2 linked regions of the Rhinolophus ferrumequinum genome follow. The protein of the gene in region 1 interacts with the protein of each later gene in a biochemical or structural test. Links are inferred from orthologs where the notes say so. Each region holds a gene or a part of one and is shown in the gene's direction. Other genes may lie near its edges.

Region 1 (10,498 bases):
TCTAGATGGGATTTTCCTTTGGGTTGCACTAGATTAACAGGCTCATTTGAGAAGAATTGGTATTTTCACAGTGTTGATTAATCTCCTTTGGGAATAGGGTATATTTTATATTTATTTCTTGGGAAGTTAAACATACTCTTCTTCACATCGCCTACACATTTATTAGGTTGGGTTCTAGGCAGCGTAGGAGCGTCACTGCTATTGTGAATAAAATCTGTTTTCTCCTATATTTCTAATTGGTTACTGGGTGCCTAGGACGCTTTGATTTTCATACATCCAGCTTGTATCCAGGCTCCTTACTCAATTCTCTTACTAGTTCTAAGTCATTTCTCTTGGACGTTCTTCATAGGTACTCATTTTATTTGCAATATCATGGGCAAATCATGGTAGTCGGATCTTTTTTAAGAGGTGGATTTCATTTCTTTATTCTCATGCTTTGCATCGCTAGTCTTCAGCACAATGCTGGACAGTGCACCAGGCCCCCGGCACGTTCCAGGCTGCAGTAGGAACGTTCCCTGGGCCTTCCATTCGTTTCAGTTTCAACCTGCAACCAAAGCTCACCCCAGGAACTGCCACACTTGGGCAGATGCTTTCTAGTCTCTACTGATACTCAAAGTCCACATCACACACAACACGGCTGGTTACCATCCTCGTAACGCAAGTCTTACTGCTCAGTTTCCATGACCCCACAACAGTAGCAGCCTGAGGCTTATCTAGGCTAGGGGGACTCTAAGCAAAACAATACAAAATTAGGTACAAAATGAATATTTATTTAGAAAAGAATCACAATTTACATATCTAAAAGGCAGATTAATACCATAAACAACAAATATTATTTTCCTAGACTTTGTGATTTTTATCCTATAAATCCAGAAAAATAACATAACATTTGTATTGTCTGAAATACCTCTATGATGTGTTTCTGCTACATTATCTACTGTATACTCTTTGAGCATTTCTTCAGATTACATTTTCATAATTTATACAGAAAGGTTGACTGAATTAAAAAATGTTTTTTATCATTGATGTTCACAGCTTCTTATTGTTCACAACTTTCTTCTTCTTAAATGTTCACATCCCGTACATTTAAAATTCACTGTAAATTTGGGAAACGCTCGATCAAATTTACTCCACATACAAGGTTCCACTTGCTTAAGAAGTGTCAAATCTTAAAAGCTCTTCAAGCGTCTCTGAAGCAGCTCGCCACCCAGGCCCATGTGGGTTGTGTGACCAGCTCGCTCGTCACTGTCGTCAGTATGAAGTGTCAAATCCGGGAGCAACACACATCTCTTCCCAACACGCTCATCGCCTCCTCCTGTCTCCACTAATGAATTACCCAACAATTCCAGACCCTCTTCACCTCTTGTATTTAACATTTGTTTCTTCCTCTTAGTGAATGGTACGATCTGAAAAATTTTCTATTATAGTTTGTGCCTTGATGTCTCAATAATTTCTACTGGTATCAGTGGTCATTTCTACTACTTTTTCATATTTTATTATCTAATATTTCCCTGTTCTTTAAAAAACAAACTTAAAGGTGGCAAAAGACAGTTTGTCCAAAGTAGGAAGGTGTAGTTTCTTATTTATATTGAAATGTTGCAAAAAAATTTGTACAAATGCAATGAGGATGACACATGCTTAACTCGGGTTTTCCACATCTGTGCTCCCTGTGGAACATTTCCCACATCTGAGACACCCTGTACTCCTGGCCAGAGAGGAAGCATAATGGAGGAGTGGAAAGAGGCTTTAACTCGACAACATATGATGATGGAACCCTTTGCTAGGTCCCTCTTGGTGCCCTGGGGGGGCCTGTACAAGTGAGGGGTGCCAAACCCCACTGGCTTCAGGCTGAACTGGCACCACCCGTTGGCCTCTCTGGGCCACTGGCAGCTGTCCTCGACCCCTTAGTTGACAGTGAATGCTGGATCCCCTAGTTGTCCAGGGGTCAGCTCTGGGCCTTCCCCCCACAGCATTAAGTACCCACACCAGGTTGTGATGGCCGCCACTCAGTCATCTTGAAGCCCAGTCGGTAAACCCCCGGGTGTCTCACGGGCATCCCCAAATTACTATGCCTAAAACAGTTCCAACCCACCCCAAGGTGGTCCTCTCTCAGTCCTCCCCTCTCGTAAACAGCCCCACGAAACCCTCAGCTACTGAAGCTGACACTCTGAAGTGTCCCTTCCCCTCACCCTACAGCCAACCCATCACCACCTTCAGTCCACTGTGCCTTCAGAACACTGACTTCTCTTTCCCTCTCCCCACTGGACACCCTGATGGCCTCCTGCTCGCCCCTGCCCCTGCTCTCTCACAACTGAGCCCTACCTGTGCCTCAGCAGCCAAAGGCCGTCTGTACAACTCACAGGCCGGCCGGCCCCACTGCCACCCTTGCTGGACCCGCAGGGGTTCCAAGAAGATGGGTGGGCTCCGTGAGGCCCCCTAACTGACCTTCATGGCAGCCACTCTGCACCCTGTAACTGGAGTGGTCTGACTGTGCGCTCAACACCCAGGCAAGTGGCGGCTCAGAGCAGGTTTGATTTTAATTAGAAAAGGAAATCAATGTGATGTTTCTTACACATTGGTGTCATTACCAGCTCCAGTAAGGCCTGTGTACTGAACAGAAAATCAATTCCCCTTTCTGGCCTCCCCAAGAGCCTGGGGCCTGCTCTGTTCTGAGTTGCTAACTCCATGTCAGCCACTCTCACATGCAAAGACACTGTGGGTCATACCTGTTTCTCAGAAATACCTATTGCTGAGCTTCCCAAGGGTTTGGAGTAGAAACCCAACTACAGGCTGCACTTCGTACTCCTGAAAAGAGGGAGGGTCCCATTTCCTGAGATGGTGGAAGACAGGATGCAGGACACCCCTCTGCTGAGAACTAAAGAGCCGGGTACAGTATTAAGACAAAACCCCACATGCCTACTAGAACTGCTACCGAGGCAGTGAGGAATTGTGAGGCTAACACCCAGAAGAGGGGTCAGCCCCAGGCGAATCACCAGAAGCATCTGCTGAATCAGGAAACAGTAGCTGCAAGGCTGAGAAGCTGACCAGAACTTTCTACAGATTCCCAGGGCTGCAAGAGAAGAGTGGATTTAAAGGCCTGTGTGAAGAGGATGGGCCTCCTGGAGGTTCCCCAGGCTATGGGTTGGATCCTGGAAGAGCTACACCCCAGAGAAAGAGTAAGCAGGAAACAGACCAGCCCCAGTAAGAACTGAAGCTGGACTTTAAGTGATCCCAACCCCGTCAGGATTAAGACGCTGTGATGATTGCTAGTGGCCTAACCTAGCCGTCTGCTGTGGAAGAAGAGAACATCATCCAGGGCATCGTCCAATCATCAAATTCTCTGATTTCCTAAACATAAAACGTGCAACACGCATCCATAAAAAGTAATCAGGCATGCCAGGAAGTAAGATGTGATGAAAGAGAACAGGGATGCAGATAATGGAGTGATCAGACAAGGACTTTAAAATAACTACACTTAATGTGCTCAAGGAGCCAAAAGACGTGATTCCCAAATTTAGGGAGACCTGGAAATAAAAAACAAACAAATAAATGAAAATTCTAAAACAGAAAAACTAAATTTAAGGACTCAATGAATGGGTTTGACAGCAGATTAGATAAAGGAGAATTAGTGAACTAGAAGGCAGGTCAAAAAAATTAGAATGCAATAGAATCAAAAGGATATACAATCTAGTAAAGAGCAGAAGAGACATGTGGGATACAGTGAAAAAGGCCAAGCATATTTATAATTGGAGTTCTAGATGAAAAGCAGAAAGAGAATGGGAATCCAACACATCTAAAGAAAGAAGAGCTGCAAATTTCCCAAAACTGAAAAAAGATACCTACAGGTTCTAAAAGCACCATGAGCATCGAGAAGGATAAATGCAAGGAAAAATACATCCAGGCACAGTACAGCAGGACCGCTTATCTGCAGGGGATCCATTCCAAGGCCCTCCGTGGACTCCTGAAGTCACAGACAGTACTGAACCCTACAAACACTGTTTTTTCCTATACATATATACCCATGATAAAGTTTAATTTATAAATTAGATACAGAAAGAGATGAATACCAATAACTAATTGGTAATAAAATAGATCGATTATAATATACTGTAATAAAAGTTATATGAATGTGGTCTTGCTCTCTCTCAAAATAGCTTATACTGTACTCACCTTTTCACTTAAAGCAAGCATTTTATGGCCTTCCTTTGGCACATCTGAATTCCCAGCATTACTAGTTTTACGCTTTGGACCATTATTAGTAAAATAAGGGTTAAACACAAGCAATGCGATACTGTAACAGTCGATCTTATAACTGCGAAGGCTACTAAGTGGCTAATGGGCAGGGGGTGTTTACAGCACGGAGACACCAGACAAACGGAATGATTCACATCCTGGGAGGGGCAGAACGAGATTAGAACAGCGCACAACTTAAACCTCATGACTTGCTTATTTCTGGAATTTTCATTTAATATTTTTGGACCATGGTTCGTCACAGGTAACTGAAAGCACAGAAAGTGAAACCTTGGGTAAAGGGGGACTGCTGTATAGAACTGCTGACTGAAAATAAAGAGAAAATCTTTAAAGCAGCCAGGAAGACATGCCTTCTTCAAAGGAGCAACAATAAGACTGACAGAAAGTGTGGAAGTCAGAAAACAATGGAATAACATCCTCAGAGTGCTGACAGAAATAACTGCAAACCTGTAATTCTATACCCAGTAAAAATGTCCTTCAAAAACAGAGGACACACAAAGAAATTTTCAGAGAAACAAAAACGGGTAGAATCCATCACCAGTAAACTTACATACAGCAAATGCAGTACTGGATGGAAGGTATCCTCCAGGGTTTCTAGCTGTTCTGCTCAATGTTGAACCCTCAGCACCTACAACACGACCCAGCACAAAGGCGCTACTCAGTAAATACTGAATGAGTGCATTTAGGAAGACAACTGTCAACAGTCACTGACAATGTTACAGGAGTGAAACATGACTCAGACTACAAATGTTGCCGTAACGAATAACATTGACTCTTTCCTACAAAATCACGTCTGTCTACCTGTCTATCAAAGTACATTTCTCTCCAGCCCTACGACGCGCCGCAGAGGCCTGTTGTGCAAAATCTTGAGACCTAGACTAAGACTTGGCTCCAAGTCACGGAACCCACGTCCTGCCCGCCGCGTTAATGCCACGACCAGGCCCCGAGAGGCGAGCTCGAGCCCGGAGGCCGGGTCCTCACCACGTCCATATCCAAGGCCCGCTCACCTCACGCGCCCGTCGGTCCATCAGTCCCAGCGCAGCCGCGTGGGAAACGGGGAGGGCCACGCCTGGACCACGACTCCGCCCCACCACCACGTGGGTGCGCCGAAACCCGCCACTTCGCTACGCAGAGCCGGCGCCCGCCCCACGCGAGGTCCAGCCTCCGCCGACCAGACCACGCCCCCACCGCTCGTGGCGACCCGGCAGACCTCGCCCCGCTAGGCCCGCTCCATCCCCCCGTCCTAAGTGGCCGTCTGCCTCCTGGTTACAGGCGAGTGACAGTCCGCCGTCGCCTCGAGGTCAGTCACTCCCGCAGTCCGACAGCCCGTGCGCCCGTCCGACGGCCGGCCAGCCTGGGGCCAGCCCTTACCAGCGCCGGCTTTGGTGGGGTCGCCTGCGGACGCGCGCCAGCTGCTGCTGCGGCCCTGCTGCCACGGCTGGACGGGCGCTCGTGAGGCGGGGCGAAGGCGGGTAGGCGCGGGAATTGTGGGGACCGGGGACACCCGGACCGGCACAGGCGAGGTGGGGCCGCGCACGCTGAGGCCGCAGCGCCGCCCAGCGGACGTCGGCGCGCACGGAGGACGTCAGAGCGCCCGAGTGCGCCGCCGCGCGTGCGCACCCGCCACCAAGCCTACTCCCGAGGCACGCTGGGAGTCCGGCGCGGAGGCGTCGTCTGCGCTTGCGTGGTCCGCGATCGGTGGGTCTTCCGCAGCGCGCTCGTGAGGTCCACCCTGATCCCCTTGTCAGTTGGTGCCCAGCAAGCTACTGTCCCAGTTGAGTCACACTTTACTTTATTCCCGCAAAGAACCGACGACCCCAGCAACCAGTGGGGTCCTCATCCCACATCCGCAATGTGCTGCCCCCTGGCGGCCACGAAGATTAGGCCAGGTCTGCCGTGAGCACTGCGACGTTGGTGGGGGATATTCCAGGCCCGTCCCAGCCAGTGTGCTGTCGCTGTGAGGGACCTGCCTGACCCTGCCCCGCCACTCCGGCATTCCGGATTCCCTTTTATTATGCGTTATTTCCCTCCTTTGCACTTCCCACATTCTAAATACTATTAATTTACTTTTGAGTTCCCTTCGTCACTCTGGAGCTTGAGCTCCACGAGGGCTGGCTGAGACCTTTGCCTTGCTTTGCCCTTGGATGTAGCCCAAGAACGGTGCCTGGCACACAGTAGGTGTTCAGTAGCCGTTGGTTGAATTGATGAATTCCTGAGCGATGAGGACTCGTGGAACATCCCTGTTCTAACAAGTGTACAAGTCAGGAGGGGACGCTCTTGAATAAGTGACTGCAGCCGCTTGACAGACACGCGCGGCAGCTCTGGGCGCCCACGGAGGTGACCTGCCAAGGCAGTGTCCACCTCAAGAGTTGTTCAAGCATAATGCTATACGTCCTGATGTGCAAGTTTAAAAAATTAAGCAATGCACCCTCCGAGGTCGTTCCGTGTCAGTATAGTTTTGTTACCTAGCAGAGTATGGATGTGTCGTAAATTATTTAACCATTTCCTGCTTATAGACCTTTAGATTGTTTCCAGGTTTGGACGGTTACAAAAGGCTGCAAAAAGACGTTTTGAACGTGTCTCCTGCGTTCATGCATGAATAGGTCTCTTGATTGATACGGCGAAATGGGTGTGTGCGTGTTTTACATAAGACACATTGCGCTCCCAAAAGCCTGACGAATTAATTACAGTCTCACCCATGTCAGCACGTCCACAACAAACAATCGTCAATCTCTCCCACTTCCAGTCTGGTAGCAAAGAAGTGTCGGGTATTTTGTTTCTGCCCCGGAACCGGCCTGGTGCTGGGAGGAGGCGGAAGAAGGGAGACGCGCCGCGGTCTCGGTGGGGGTCGCCCCCTCCCGCGCGCCTGCGCCCCTCTTGGCGAGCTGGCCCGTGCCCTGCCTGTTCTGGCAGATAAAGCCGAAAGGCCCATTGGGGCCAGAAAGTGGAAAATCATATGTGGACGCGGAGCTTGACGCTGGGCTCCGCGGAATGCGGCGACACTTAATTAGAGGCGATGGCTCGGCGCGCGTCTCGGAAAGAGCCGCTGGGACAGGCCCTCCCCGGGGCCAGTGCCCGCCGCCCCGCCGGGACCCCGCCCCGACCGGCGGCCCCGCCCCCAGTCCAGGCCGCAGCAGCTGGTCGGGTTTGCGGCGGCGCGGCGCGAGGTGAGTTGCAGATTCTGGGGTTCCCGGGGTTCGAGGGTCCTGGGGTCCGAGCGGGCCAGGTTGCGGGGGACCTTCTGCGGCGCCCCCTGGCGGAGCGGGCGAACTCGGGCGACACTGCGGGCGTGTTCTGGGGCCCGAGAAGGGCGCGGCCGGGCGCCGGGGACCCTGTCCGAGCGCCGTCTGAGCGCGGCCCGTTTCTTCCTAGAGTGACCGCGCCGACCCCAGCCCGAGGCCACCCGGAAACACGCGGAGCCTCGGGCCGGCGCGGAGGGCGGCGGCGGCCCTGGGCGGCCTCGCGCGGACCCCCGTTCGCTCCCGGCTGTTCCCCGCGCCTCGCAGAGGTAACCTGCGGTCCAGGGCTACCCTGCTCGCGGCTCAGTGACCCGGAAGACATAGGGACATAGGCCGTGGGCGCTGCCCCGGTGAAGGCCTAATCCCATCTCGTGCCCTCAGGGCAGGTCCTGCTGAGCTGCTAGTTGTCACACTTGAAACCACTGATTAGGGGCGTTGTTCTGCTCCTGGACCCCAGACTTGGGACCCTAGGAAGCAGCCCAGCTGGGGGACTGACTCCCAGTGAGGCGGTGGGCCTGAAATGTGCTTGTCCAGGTTTAGATTAGGGGCCTTTAACCGGGGCATCTTTTGGGCGATGTTGCATGTTTTCATGGGGTTCTCAAAGGGATCATTGAGCCCCAGAAATTAAGAAATGTCTTCCTGGCCCAAAGGCCCAACCAGGGGGACACCCCAATGTCTGGTTAAGCCTGGGCCCAGGAGGGCTCAGAATCAGCAGGCCGGTCCATGACTGAAGATTCTGAGTCAGGGTTTGGGTGACCACACCCTGGGCTCCCAGCAGGGGCGGATACGCTTTTGCTCACATGCTCTGGCTACGGATTGGGTAGACTCAACTCCTCTGTGTGACAGTTGGGTGACATGGCCAGTCCCAGATGCCCTCACCTCAGTTTCAGCAGGCCCATCTGCTGGGATCAGCAAACATGAATTTTTCCTGCTGGCCGTCACTCAGGAGTGGAAGTGGAGCATTGGCCTGGGCCACTCTCCCCTCTGTGGGCTCCATTCAGCAAAGCCAGGCAGTGCCAAGCTGGCACACAAACATGTGAGGCACTGTTCTCAGGAACCCGGGGATTTCAGGGAGCCAGGTCCTCACATGGGGCTGAGTCATTCTGTTGGGCAGGGCCATTTTAAAGGGCAGCTCAAATCGCATCACTTCCAGGACTTTCTGCAGCACCTGAATGAAAGCCAACTCCCTGCATCTCAGCACCCAGGGCTCTTCTCCCAACCCCACCTTCAGGGCCTCAGGTTACTGTGTATTCAGGCTCCGGCTGGTCCCTGGTGAGCTTAGGGCCTTTCACCTGCTCCCAGCCCGCCTGCTGGACCTCTGGCTTCCCAGACCTGAGACCGGTTGGCTCACTCCTCCCCCTCCCGTCTTCCACCTAGAAAACCCCGCCTCTCTCATCATGAGTGTGGACATCCACTACGAGCAGCTGAGTGACGACCAGTGGAGGGAGCTCCTGCCTCGGATGCAGCAGCAGCAGGTGGTCAGGTAGAGACGCCCTTGCCCACGCCCTTGCGGGGTGGCCGGTGGGCTGGGGGCCCACGAGTGGGCGTGCTGGGCTCTGAAAGCTCTCAGCTCGTGGACACACAATGTAGACTCTGTGTCACATGGTGTGAAAGGTTATTCTTGTATTTTACCCAACCATTTAAAAACGTGAGCCTGTTCCCAGGTGGGCGGAGTGGCCGGCCAGGGTCTCTGGCTCGGCTCCTTCCTCAGGGACGCAATCACGTCAGTTGGCTGCGTGCAGGTGTGGCTTGTCCCTTCGCTGCCCGTTCTCACACAGCAGTTCCTCAGGCTTCACAACAGATACCTGCCTGCTTGTCTTAAACTTTTGGACGTAGATTGAGGTTCACAGAAGAGTTATGAAGATGCTTTGGGGGCTCTGTGCCCCTCGTCCCGTGTCCCCTGAAGTCAGTGCCCCATCACCTGGGCCACTGGTCAAACTGAGGAGCCCAGTACAGCCACCTTGACTCCGGTATCACCAGCATTCCCAGTCAGTGCAGGATCCCACGGACCATTTGTCGTCAGGTCTCCTTGGCCCCCTCCCATCTGGGACGGTCCCTGTGTCCCTCTTTGTCCTTGGTCATCTGCCTCGTGGGTCAGCTCCAGTCTGGAGAAAGTCCCTCTGATGTCTTCTTGTGGCTGAGTCACATATTTTTGGCAAGAATACATAGAAAAGATGCTGTGTCCTATCTGGAATACTGTGTTGTGGGATGTATGGTCACGATGGCACCGTATGGTCACTGCTGTCACGTGACCACCTGTTAGGTGGGGGTCTGCCGGTTCTCCAGGACTGTTTTGCCCTTTGGAACTGGTAAATACGTTGGGTGATGTGCCTTGACTCTGCTTGTGTCCTTTTCTGTTCAGTGTCCCTCCTGAGGTTGGCCTCCCTCGGGGGGTGTTGCCAGAATGGTCATGACTGGGCCTTCGTCTGACTGGGCCTTTGTCTGACTGGGGGTTTTAGTGTCTTTATTCCTTGCCATTTTTCATTTGTCCCCTGACCCCATGTTGACTCCATCTCCCACACAGCTGGGTGGACTCTGTTTGGCTGGGTCACGCTGCCCACGCTGCTCCTTGCAGGCCTGGCTGTGCTGACCGAGTCCCTCCCTGGAGACTGGCCAAGGCTTTGGCGCTGGTCAGGTGTGGAGAGCGTTGGGCGCCCCAGCCATCACAACCTGCAGAGTGACCGACATGACCGTCTGGGTGTCCTGTCCGCAGGCTTGTTGACTGTGGCGTTACTGAGGCACGTTGCCAGGACATGAGCTCTGCGCTCCGAGGCAATCCCGCCCTGACCGAGCTGGATGTCTGCAACAACGAGCTGGGGGATGGGGGCCTGCGTGTGCTGCTGCAGGGTCTGCACGGCCCCACCTGCAAGATCCAGACGCTCAGGTGAGCCACCGGCGCTGGGTTCCCGCCTCAGCCAGTGTCAGCACAGTGACCCCTCCCCTTCCACCCTGGGTCCCCCTGCGCAGTGGCGTGCCTATGACGTGGGGCATGGCAGCCAGTGACGCCA
Region 2 (10,528 bases), on another chromosome or scaffold:
AGGGGCCCGTGTCGTGCCTTGGCTCCGGGGCGGTTGTGGCGCGGTCTGCGGGTTGTCCCGGCAGCCCGCGTCTTCGAGGCCGCTGCGTCTCGTACTCAGCTACAGGCTCTCTCCAGTCTGGAATAGCGCGACATGAGCCAGACCATAAGCAGGGACCCGCCCCGCTGTGCATGGGGCGGGAGCTGCTGTGGAGCCTTCTCGGGAGGCGGGTCCAGGCGCTAAGGGGTCTCTTCTGAGAAACAGGGTGCGGTCCCAACTACCCGGGACCTAGCCAGCCGACCCCAACCTCCTCGCTGCACCCGCGTCTCGTCAGTGTACTAACGCTCAGCCGACGCAGATCCAAAGCAGGACTCAAAACATCATTTTTGCGTTTTCTACCAGCTCCCCACCATCATACAAAGGAGAAGCGGGTGAGAAACAAAAACTTCTCTTTCCACTGTCCTGCGCGTTTCTGCAGCTTTGTTCCTAAGTGGGTTCACATTTCTGCTCCTCCTTCTCCTCGTCTGTAGCTTTACCAGGGGTGTTTTGGCCGAGGGATTCTCTTCTTAGCAGAGGCAGTTGGGGGGCTCCTCCGAGAGAAGTTTTTGGAACCGGACTGGAGGAGCTGAGAAATGGGAAGGAAGATAAAAGTGCTGTACTTGTAGAGTTAGCGATTCTACATTCACACCACATGTTTACTTTCTGCAGCTGGGCAGAGATGGCAGCACAAATGCCTATTGCCTAGAACGTAAGCTTGGAGGGGATCACCGCGTTGGTGAAGCCCAGGGAGACCGGGGAGGCCTGCACTAGCTCAAACTAGTAAGGATTCTTTGCTTGGTACCCAGATTGATCGGCAGATTTACGAAGCAGGCCTTGTCCAGTTTTTGCAAGCGGAACTGACATTTGGGGACTGGTGTTTTCATTTTCTGTCTGCTCACCGCTGTCTCCTCACCCTTAACCCACCTTCAGCCAGTGTGTGAAGTTCTTGCAGACACTGACAACAGCCTCTTCTTGAAGCTTTCTTAGTGGAACATTGGGATCTTCAGCTTTCTTACTCTGAGACAACACATCAAGTGATAACAGCACATGGGCATAAACAGGACATCTTTATTTAGGAAGGACAGTAAAAACAGTTTCAGCACCATTCTAGGGATTAGGGAAATCTAAAATGAGCCAAGACCTTCCCTCTGTGTCATTAAGAACCTTATAATCAAATCATAAATGTAACCACCAGAAACCCAAGTGACACAATTAGCTAAACAGCACATGGCCAACTTCCTAGAAGCAGCCTCAAGTATTCAAAGAGCTACTTAGCTATACAGCTACTAACTAGTTAGTGCAGAGGATAATTGTGTTACAGACACTTTATTTCAAGCAAAATTTTTGTTAACAGATAAAGGGGGAGTAAAAGCATTTTTGGAATTTATGGAAATATTCAAAGTAGTTTTCTCTTAAACGGCAAATTTCATGAGCACTTTTAAAATTAGCCTTGATTTTCTAGAATTACTAGTATAGAATATGAAAGCTATGTGGTGCATTGGAAAGCCTCTAGTCCTGGGAATGATAGATGTTCCTTGAGCAACACATTTTCTCTTTCTCTATTCTTCAGATTCCACATCTGTAAAATGAGGAGTTAACAGATGGTCTCTGAGGTCCCTCTCTTTCTTATTCTATGACTGCATCGAGTGGCCAGGTATTATAACAGGACTCTTATAAAAAAAGAAGATACTCTAGTAATGAGGAGAAGAACTCTCATTTGGCAGAGAGAATGGGGAAAACCATTCCAGGAAAAGAGGAATGGCTCTGGCTATTGTCAAAAGTGCAGATGCCAGGTTATAAGCAGGTTATCGTGCAGTTATTGCTGGAAGCATTTTCCAGTGTGATTCATAAATTAAAGTAGATGACTAAGAAAGTGGACCAAAGCAGGCCAGCAAAACCCTTCTTTAGAAGTTTTCATTATACTGCATTTGAGCAAAGAACAATCTCTGTAAACAGTTATTCTCAGAAGAACATTTTGAAATAGCAGGGAAAGAGAGAATGGGCACAAAGCCCAGAGTTTGTTGAAAAGTGAATGATTAATTGTTGTTTGTTTGGAAATAGAGCCATGTCAGCAGGACTTTGTCCTCATTCTCCCTCTGTCAATAGTGTTTCCCCTTCCTGGAGGTGGAGGCATGATCCTTCCTTCTTATGTGAACTTCCTCCTCTTTTAACCATTACTTCTGTTACTAAATAAGTTCCATGCTCATAGACCTAAAATATGTAAGAATTATAAAGGAACTTAAAAACTAACCCCTTCCCTCCATTACCTAATTTTACAATTAGTCTTTAGGACAGAAGTAAACATATGTACTTTGTCTAAAGGGGGAAAGTACACCAGCGCGAGAGTCCTTAGAAGGAGAACCCATGCTTCCTGTATCTGTGTGCAAGGAAACTATTGGCTTGAAGTAGAGACATAGAAAAACATTTCGGAAGAAGGGGAATAACTTTCAAGTTGAAGCTGTCAGAACATTTTTTAAATATATGAGTATGTTTTTCAATTGGCAATTGCTTCACACCTATTAAAATTACTGACAAAGATATAATGTTCATTAATCGTAGACTATAATTCTTCGTATTTTGAAATACAAAGGAGTAAGCACTAAGCTGCATTTTAATGAAGTCATAAAACTTTTTTCCCTAAAAAACTTTATTTTCTGTTTCATCATAACTTCATTGTGCCAAGCTGAGAATAAAAACAATTAGAATGAAAGCAACCATTCCCCATTCACCCTGACTCTTTACATTGTCAACTATGTAGACAGGTTGTGAATTCTCCCAAGGTTGTCCAGTGAAATCCTAGAGGCACAGAAGGGATGTGGCTGTGTTCAGAGGCTGGAAGCTGCTACTCAGCACCATTGCGTAACTCCAAAATCAGAGACTGATCTGTTTGTGTGAGTTGGTGCTTGAACTAGTGTTTCAGGCCATGGGACTGTGTGTGTGTGGTTGTGTGTGTGTGGTTTTGTGTGTGTGTGTGTGTGTGTGTGTGATGTTGGAGTGGGGTACTTTATCTCTGCTTTTAGGTCATTTATCAGAAAAGGGTTGTGTTGATCAAGTCATCTTGCTCCCCACAGGCTGTGGGAGTTGACTGCTTATTCTGTCTTTTGGGACTGCTGAGGCAATCGTGGGGTGTTGCAATGGGCCTGGCAGCTGGCTTCTCTAACAAATAACTGGTTGATAGCTTTTTAGAACTCATTTCTTCAGTGTCTCTTTAAAAAGTGATATGTGATTAACTTAAAATAGGCACTGCTATCAAATAGTTTGTCTGCCCACAAAAGGAAAATGAGCATTTGGGCACTCTGCTAAATGCCAGTAGGGGCCTCACTCTATGGTCCCCATGTCCTATTATTTCTTTTTGCTCCTAAAAGACTTTGAACTTGGGTGTTTGGCAGAACAACTGATCAGAGACAGGCCTGTCCCTTCCCTTCCAGAGACTTCAGTAACCCTGGGGCACCAGGTACTGAAGGAAAGGCAATTTGTGGCACTTTGCTTGGTATTCTCACTACCTCCAACATTTTCCCTTTAGCTCAGGATTCGGTTGGGGATGCAGGGAAGAAAGGGGAGGACAGGGGTAAAACGTGAAGCTCAGGCAGGACTGTGTCCCAACACAACTGAAAAGCAGGTGAAGTTTGTTCTTTTTCAGGTTCTCCATGCTGCCCACTTTTCTTCCTCAAAGCCTCAGGCCCTTCCAGTTACCCAAAGCTGTTCTTAAGATAGGCTGTAGAGCACATGCCCAAGGGTGTGGACTCACTGACAGCTGTTTAAAGAGTTAATCTCTGCTAGGGATTTTTGCACTGGGACAGGGACCAATACCTCAAAAACAAAGATAAACATGGGCTTTCAGGATTTATCAGTAAGCTAAAAGCAGAGCGTTCCTGGGACCCTTGGAAGCCACCTTGTTCTACCTGGGAATCAGTCCTGCCTTGTTTGGTAACTGCTACCAAACCCAATTGTGTTGGTGAGCCTTAACGTTTTCGCACTGATTGCGGCGTTTGACTTTACCCCACGAGTTCAGTGTTCCAGAAAGGAAGTTTAGGAAAGCAGATATACATTTTCCTATATTTTTGTGTTTTTCAAGAATGAATAATAATAGGAAATTTTTATACTTTAAAGTAATTATTTAATAAAATGTAGCACCTTAACTGTATCTACTTAAAAATATAAATACTGTAATTATTTTTTGTGGATTTCTGACACCTTTTGGAGAACAAATTTGAAATCAATTAATGCAGTGAAAAGGTTAAGAGAAGCCAGGAGAGTTTGTATGGTTGGAGTCTCCACAGTGAGATCAGAGAGAGAGCATTGCTAAACCATGAGGGATAACAAAAAGACCTTGGGCCCTAGAAGTCAATCACTGTTTTAGAAACTAAGACTGTAGAGATGAATAAGACAATTATTCTTCTCTCAAAGGGTTCTATCTAATAGAGAGACAAGAAGATCAATTAACCACCAAAGGAGTGATGGTTATCAGTGTTGCAATGATGATGGAGATCACCAGTTTTGCAACTGAGCTACAAGCATAGAAAACTGAGTGCCTCAGGGTTAGTATCTAGTGCACAGCTAAGGATGAAAGGAAGAAGAAGTCCAGGAAATATAGCCAGGATATTTCAGAGGGTTAGTTAGTAGCTGGGAGGTTGAGGTCAGGGGCAGGGTACTAATAGCTATCACATAACCTTCTCTAGAAGTGCTTTCCTGGTTCTGTGAAATCTATGGAATAACCTACTTATTGGCATTGCATCCTTTCATTAAACCAAATTATGTGGGTAAATACAAAGTACACTGGAACAGCATTCTGCTAGGAGATCACATTTGCTCTGCAGTTCTGCTAGGAGACCACATTTGCTCTGCCAGTTTCAAGGCAGTTCTTGGAGTTGGTCCAGAGATCAGGAACATCTTCTGGATCCAGATCATTGTGTGTGTGAACAACGAAACCTCGGTCTTGTCATGGGTAAGAGTAAGAACCACGCACATCGGAAAAAGAGCAGCTTTGGCACAAGAGGCCATGTTTATCCACTAATCCATTCCAGTGGGTGAATATTTGACCCAGTCATACCCAGAGAAAAGGTGAATGACTTTTCTTGTTTGTCCAAGAGAAGTGTCCTTGGTTTTCCTGTCTCTGCCAGGATTGAGGATCTTTGGAACTAGTCTCCCCACCCATTTCATCTGATCACTATATAATCAGAACCATAGGGGCCTCTAGGTTCACGCAGCTGGAACCCATCTCCTGGAACAAACAGCTGGAAGCCACCTTCAGTTGGAGGGAAATTTCCAGATTTTTGTAAGATTATTCTCACCCCTGGGTAATCTATTGTTCTCTTTGTTTATATATATATATATATATATATATATGTATATATATATATATATATATATATATATATATATATATATATATACATATATATATATATATATTATTTCTAGCCATCTATCCATTGCAATGAGGCCATTGCCCTCCTTTTTAAAGCCTCTGGGCCCAAGCTAATGAATTAAGGAGAAAATGAATCAGATTCTAAAGTTTAAAATGAAAACAGATTTCTTTGGGGCTAGCATATATGTGGATAAAGGGACATTTAGTGAGACCGGGAGTAAGTGGAGGTTGCAGAGAGATTCCTGAACTGTGATAAAATCTTCAAAGACCTGGGGAAGCCATTTGCTGAAGAGCATTGGAGCCCCCCTGAGCACAGGCATTATATGTGATGGAACAAGGAAAGAAACAGAAAGCATGCTTTTAGCTGTTTTCTTCTAACCTTCCCTACTAATTTTTTTCCTTAAAAAAGTTTTGATTGCTCTGTGAGAGCAAAGTGGTACACATCCCAAGATCAAAAGAAGGTACACTTGCAGGTCGAAGGGAAGAAAGAAGGAAAGGAGATAAAGAGTGTTATGCTTTCGCTTTGGGGGACATTGCCCTAGAATATATAAAAAGTGTGAAACTACATTTATGGAAATTATAACCACAGTTACTCGTCATAGACTGTCAAGTTAGCTCCCTGGTGTGTAAAGTTGGATGGATCTCTTGAGTATAAAACATTGTCAGTGGAGAGAGAAAGAGAATATTGATTCTTGTGAAGACTAAGGGCTTGGTTTGAGATAGAGGATCAAGTTCATATAAAGAACAGTTGGGACGAATTGCACGGACAAAAAGCTGACTGACAGTTATGTGCTTGTATATGGGAGGATATGTGTGAATGAGTTTGACCACCAAATGTAAGGCTGTGCACACTTGGCCTAGGCAGATTCACTTCTGCACTACAAATAGTCTGTCTCGTACTTGTTTTCTCCCAATTCCATTGGACCTCTTTATTTTGGAAATGTATAACTGAATACATGGATGAGGATGTGAGTAGGGGAGCAGATGTTAGATACTGGTGGCCGTGCTGTGTACTGGCTGGGATTTGGTTTCTGCATGACTTAGGGAGTCAAGATTATAAAAAGCCTGAGCAAAATTTAGCTAAGTTGTTATGGAAGGAATGTGCAATTCTACAAATTAGAACCAAAAATTCTCCTTTACCTCTCCAGAGTGGGATGTGAGGGTTCAACCTCCAACCAGCAAGTGGCTGTGTAGGATGTGAAGCCCTGTGCAGCGTCAGTCCAGTGCCTTCACTAGAGGTGGTCCATGGGCTTGGCTTACATGCTGAGCCTTGAGAAATGATGCATCTCAGTGAGACTGGGCCACAGGTCATCCGATCATCTTCCACCCGGTGCCCTGTGCCACCAACTAAACTTATACAAACTTGTCTCTGTAATTCTACAGTCACTCTACTTTTGCTAGTGAAACTAGACACGATTCTCTTACGCTTAATGAGAACTATGGAATTTCAGAATTTAGAGTTAGCAACTTTCTCATTTTATAAATGAACAAACTTAGGTCTGGAGAGGAAAATGAAGTCAATTATTTAAAAAAAAAAGTTATTGAGGGTCTACTATGAGGCAGGCAGTGTGACTCAAAGTGAATAATATGGGCTCTGCTTATACACCAGTGGGAAACACTGACAAGTCAACAGGTAATTGTCCGTCCAAGAGTACATGTATAAAGACTTGGAAATAGCACCCATGAAAACTGGCAATAGGTACCGTATTTCCCCCAAAATAAGACCGGGTCTTACATTAATTTTTGCTCCAAAAGATGCATTAGGGCTTATTTTCAGGGGATGTCTTATTTTTTCAACTCAGGAAATAATGGTTGCCGACCTGATCCACACTTACGCTTCTTAGCATTTCCCTCGTCCACCTGTTGACTGAGGTTATGGTCTCTGCTGGCCATTTTCGGACCATTCGGAGATCCAACTTCTTCTCTTTGCAGAAAGCCATAAGATTCTTGCCCTGGGAATCCTCCACGATTCCTTTCTTGTACTCCATGGAATAGCTCTTTCTTTTTGCACTCATCTAGTCTGGGGGTCAAAATATCATTCCCTTTAAATCTACCATTATGTCAAGTGTTAATTGAAGGCTTAGGAGACAAGAGTGGCAACAAAAATGATGACAGTTAAGAATAATAGTCCACACAAAAGCGACGAAAAATTGCAGGCACCAAAATTCAGAAAATGTTTCTTTATTTCAAATGAGTACATTAAGTACGTCCGTTACAATACACGATGTATTGAATTATGAAGATTCATATTAGACACAACCATGTCCGTTCGTTATCAAGTGCGCATGTTATTCATGCGTTGTGTCTGTAATCTGATTGGTCATTCGGCAATAAGTCTGGAGATCATCTGTTTACATAGGCAATTACCTCTCATCTAGAGGCGCCCGCTTGGGTATTTACTTAATTATAATTTATATTATCATTTATTTTAAGTATTAATGTCAAAAATATTATTTATTTATATTAATTATGTATTAATATTATTATTTTATAATTCAATACATCCATCGTGTGTTGCAACGGACGTACTAAATGCATCCATCTGGCTGACGATCTTAACTGGGGCTTATTTTGGGGGAGGGCTTGTACTATTATGAACATCCTAAAAAAATCATGCTGGGGCTTATTTTCCGGTTAGGTCTTATTTTGGGGGAAAATACGGTATCTATTTTGCTCTGTTCCTCTGGACAGATACTGAGCTTTGTGACTTTTGCTTTGACGCTTGTCTCTAGTGGGATGGCCTTGGTCTTAATATCTAAAGCATAAAGTGTTTGGACAGAGACTCTAGACAGGCCTGCCACCTCAGACTCCCTTCTATGAACAACAGTATCTCCACAACCTGTATGGTGCGGGCACCTTTTACAAGGACCCTGTATGTCCTCTACAGTGTGGAAGACATTGGCAACATTTCTATCCATCACTGCCACCTAATGACTCTTTTGAGTACTACCAGCTCTTGGTTCTTCCTAATTTTGAACTCTGGGATTCTGGTCCCAGGCAAAGAGGCGTTGACTCTGTGACCTCTGAGGTCCTATTCGATCTTGGGAGCCCGTGATTCTACAGTTACCTTTGACGTTAGAAGGCAATATTTGTCCATCGCAGAGCAAGAGACCTAATTGAATCCAAATCAATAAAACTTTGATGAGATCTTCCAAAAAAAACTAGAAAGAGAAAACACACCCAAAAGACTAAAAAGCACAATGTAAATGTAAAGGGTTTGGTAAATGGGGTGCATGGCAAGCCAGCAGCTCTGTTGAAGCAGTGGCCATGTATGAATACTCGTTTTTCCTTTAGTGGTGGCTCTCCCCTCTGCAATCATGTACCACTTTCTTGCTAAACGCCCAAGACCACGCTTTTGCTTGATTTTATTACCAATTATAATCTGTGTGCTAAATGGCAACTTTTTCAGCTGCAATTTATTTCAGTATTGTGGAATGACCCAAAATTTTCTTAGTGTATAATTTGGTATTCAGCAGTGTGCCAATTTTGTCTATAGTTATTATGAAACAGACAGGGTGGATCAATGCCAAATGCTGTTGAGAAAGAGCTCACATTGCTCATTCTGTTACATGCCTTCTCATGTACCATCAGAACCCTGGATTCCCTTGTCTTTCTAGATTTACAGTCATACTCCCAGAGCTGTTTAGTAACACTACAGGCTTAGTGCTAGGACCTGTGGCATCTTTAAGGGCTATAAAGAATTGGATATGAAAATAATGTTTATTGACTTACACACAAGAAAAGCGCAAAATAAAAATTCAGAATTAATTTAATGTCTATGAAAATATATCATGTGTTTTTAAATTTACAATTTATATGAATTACATTTAAGAATAATTTGAAGGTCAAATTTTTCTCCAATTGTAAGAATTTCTCAGTATGTGTGATGATTGCCAAGAAATCATAGCCAATTATAAAGTAAATGAGTTACTCATAGACAAACAATTTGAAAAGCAAAATTATAAAAATCATTTTCAAGTTTATAGTGTAAAGTCATTTTTATTATTGTATGTGGGGACATTCACATATATTTGATACAATGGGGAAGGACTCTGATGGTTTTTAAAGGCTCTGAATGTGTTTTAAGATTTTCTCCAGCGAATTAAAAGTATAGTCAGAAACTACCCTGTTTCCCCGAAAATAAGACCTAGTCGGACCATCAGCTATAATACGTCTTTTGGAGCAAAAATTAATATAAGACCCAGTCTTATTTTACTATAAGACCGGGTATAATATAATATAATAAAATACTGGGTCTTATATTAATTTTTGCTCCAAAAGACGCATTAGAGTTGATTGTCCAGCTAGGTCTTATTTTCGGGGAAACATGGTACCTGCTATAAACACCAAATATTTTTCAATTCTCAAATCTGCAAATTTCTGAAGAAATAAAATCTTAAAAGTTCATAAGAAATTTGTTTTCTACTTTGTTATTATCTATATTTGTTTGATTTTATTTTTTAATCGTGCTCCAGGAAGAAACACTATATTTACTTTATGGGTGTGTTTGAGTGTCTGTGACACACCACCCCTGTGGTGTGTGAGTTTTACAGTTTGAGATTGATAGCACTTGAGAGACGATGACAGCAATCCTCTTCTTTTTTTCTTCTTCTTCTTTTGAGGAAGATGTTAAGAAATTAAAACAATTTGTAAGCCCTTTGATTTCATGAAAAGATCTAAGTTGTTTTGTTTGTTTTTCTTTTTTCCACTTGGTAACATTATTTGCCTGTTGTGTAACAGTCTTTGTACATCTGCAGGGGAAACTAGAAAATATTCTCTAAGAATAATCCACATTGTTGCCAATGAGAGAAGCTCCTAAGAATAAGCTTGAATTCCTCTTCCTCCAGTCTTCCGTAAAAGTTGACCTCAGACCCACTTCCAAGCATTACATGGATTCTTCCATGCTCTTCACTGTTTTTTCTATATATAATAGTACACAATAATTCCACCTTTGGCCATGAACCATCTACTTCTTGGGGAATTAGGTCTGTCTCCCTTCACCTCAGGATAAAACTGTTTTCAGCTGCTCTCCTCACAGCCAGCTGACTTACTGATTTCAGTACCTGGAATCCTGTCTTCAACAATCCTCTGATTGACCCTTCCCTGGGCTCAGGGTTCTGCTCTGGTGTTAGGGCAAATGCC

The links. The genes of interacting proteins can lie anywhere in the genome.
Region 2: the proteins of RNH1 (region 1) and ANG are reported together in a solved structure, tested with the Homo sapiens proteins (3 studies listed by BioGRID and IntAct, with this or other methods). The link is inferred for Rhinolophus ferrumequinum from reciprocal best matches to the Homo sapiens genes RNH1 and ANG.

The regions. Positions count from the first base shown.
Region 1 is NC_046294.1:268,903-279,400, reverse strand, and holds the start of RNH1 (ribonuclease inhibitor), read left to right. Parts: upstream 1-5,163; 5' UTR 5,164-5,178; coding exon 5,179-5,551; intron 5,552-6,997; exon of another isoform or gene 6,998-7,267; coding exon of another isoform or gene 7,268-7,418; intron 7,419-7,623; exon of another isoform or gene 7,624-7,759; intron 7,760-8,634; exon of another isoform or gene 8,635-8,662; coding exon of another isoform or gene 8,663-8,762; intron 8,763-8,867; coding exon 8,868-8,973; intron 8,974-10,203; coding exon 10,204-10,374; intron 10,375-10,498. UniProt on the Homo sapiens protein: Ribonuclease inhibitor which inhibits RNASE1, RNASE2 and angiogenin (ANG). May play a role in redox homeostasis. Required to inhibit the cytotoxic tRNA ribonuclease activity of ANG in the cytoplasm in absence of stress.
Region 2 is NC_046289.1:71,768,556-71,779,083, forward strand, and holds the start of ANG (angiogenin), read left to right. Parts: upstream 1-5,205; 5' UTR 5,206-5,293; exon of another isoform or gene 5,294-5,315; intron 5,316-10,528. UniProt on the Homo sapiens protein: Secreted ribonuclease that can either promote or restrict cell proliferation of target cells, depending on the context. Endocytosed in target cells via its receptor PLXNB2 and translocates to the cytoplasm or nucleus.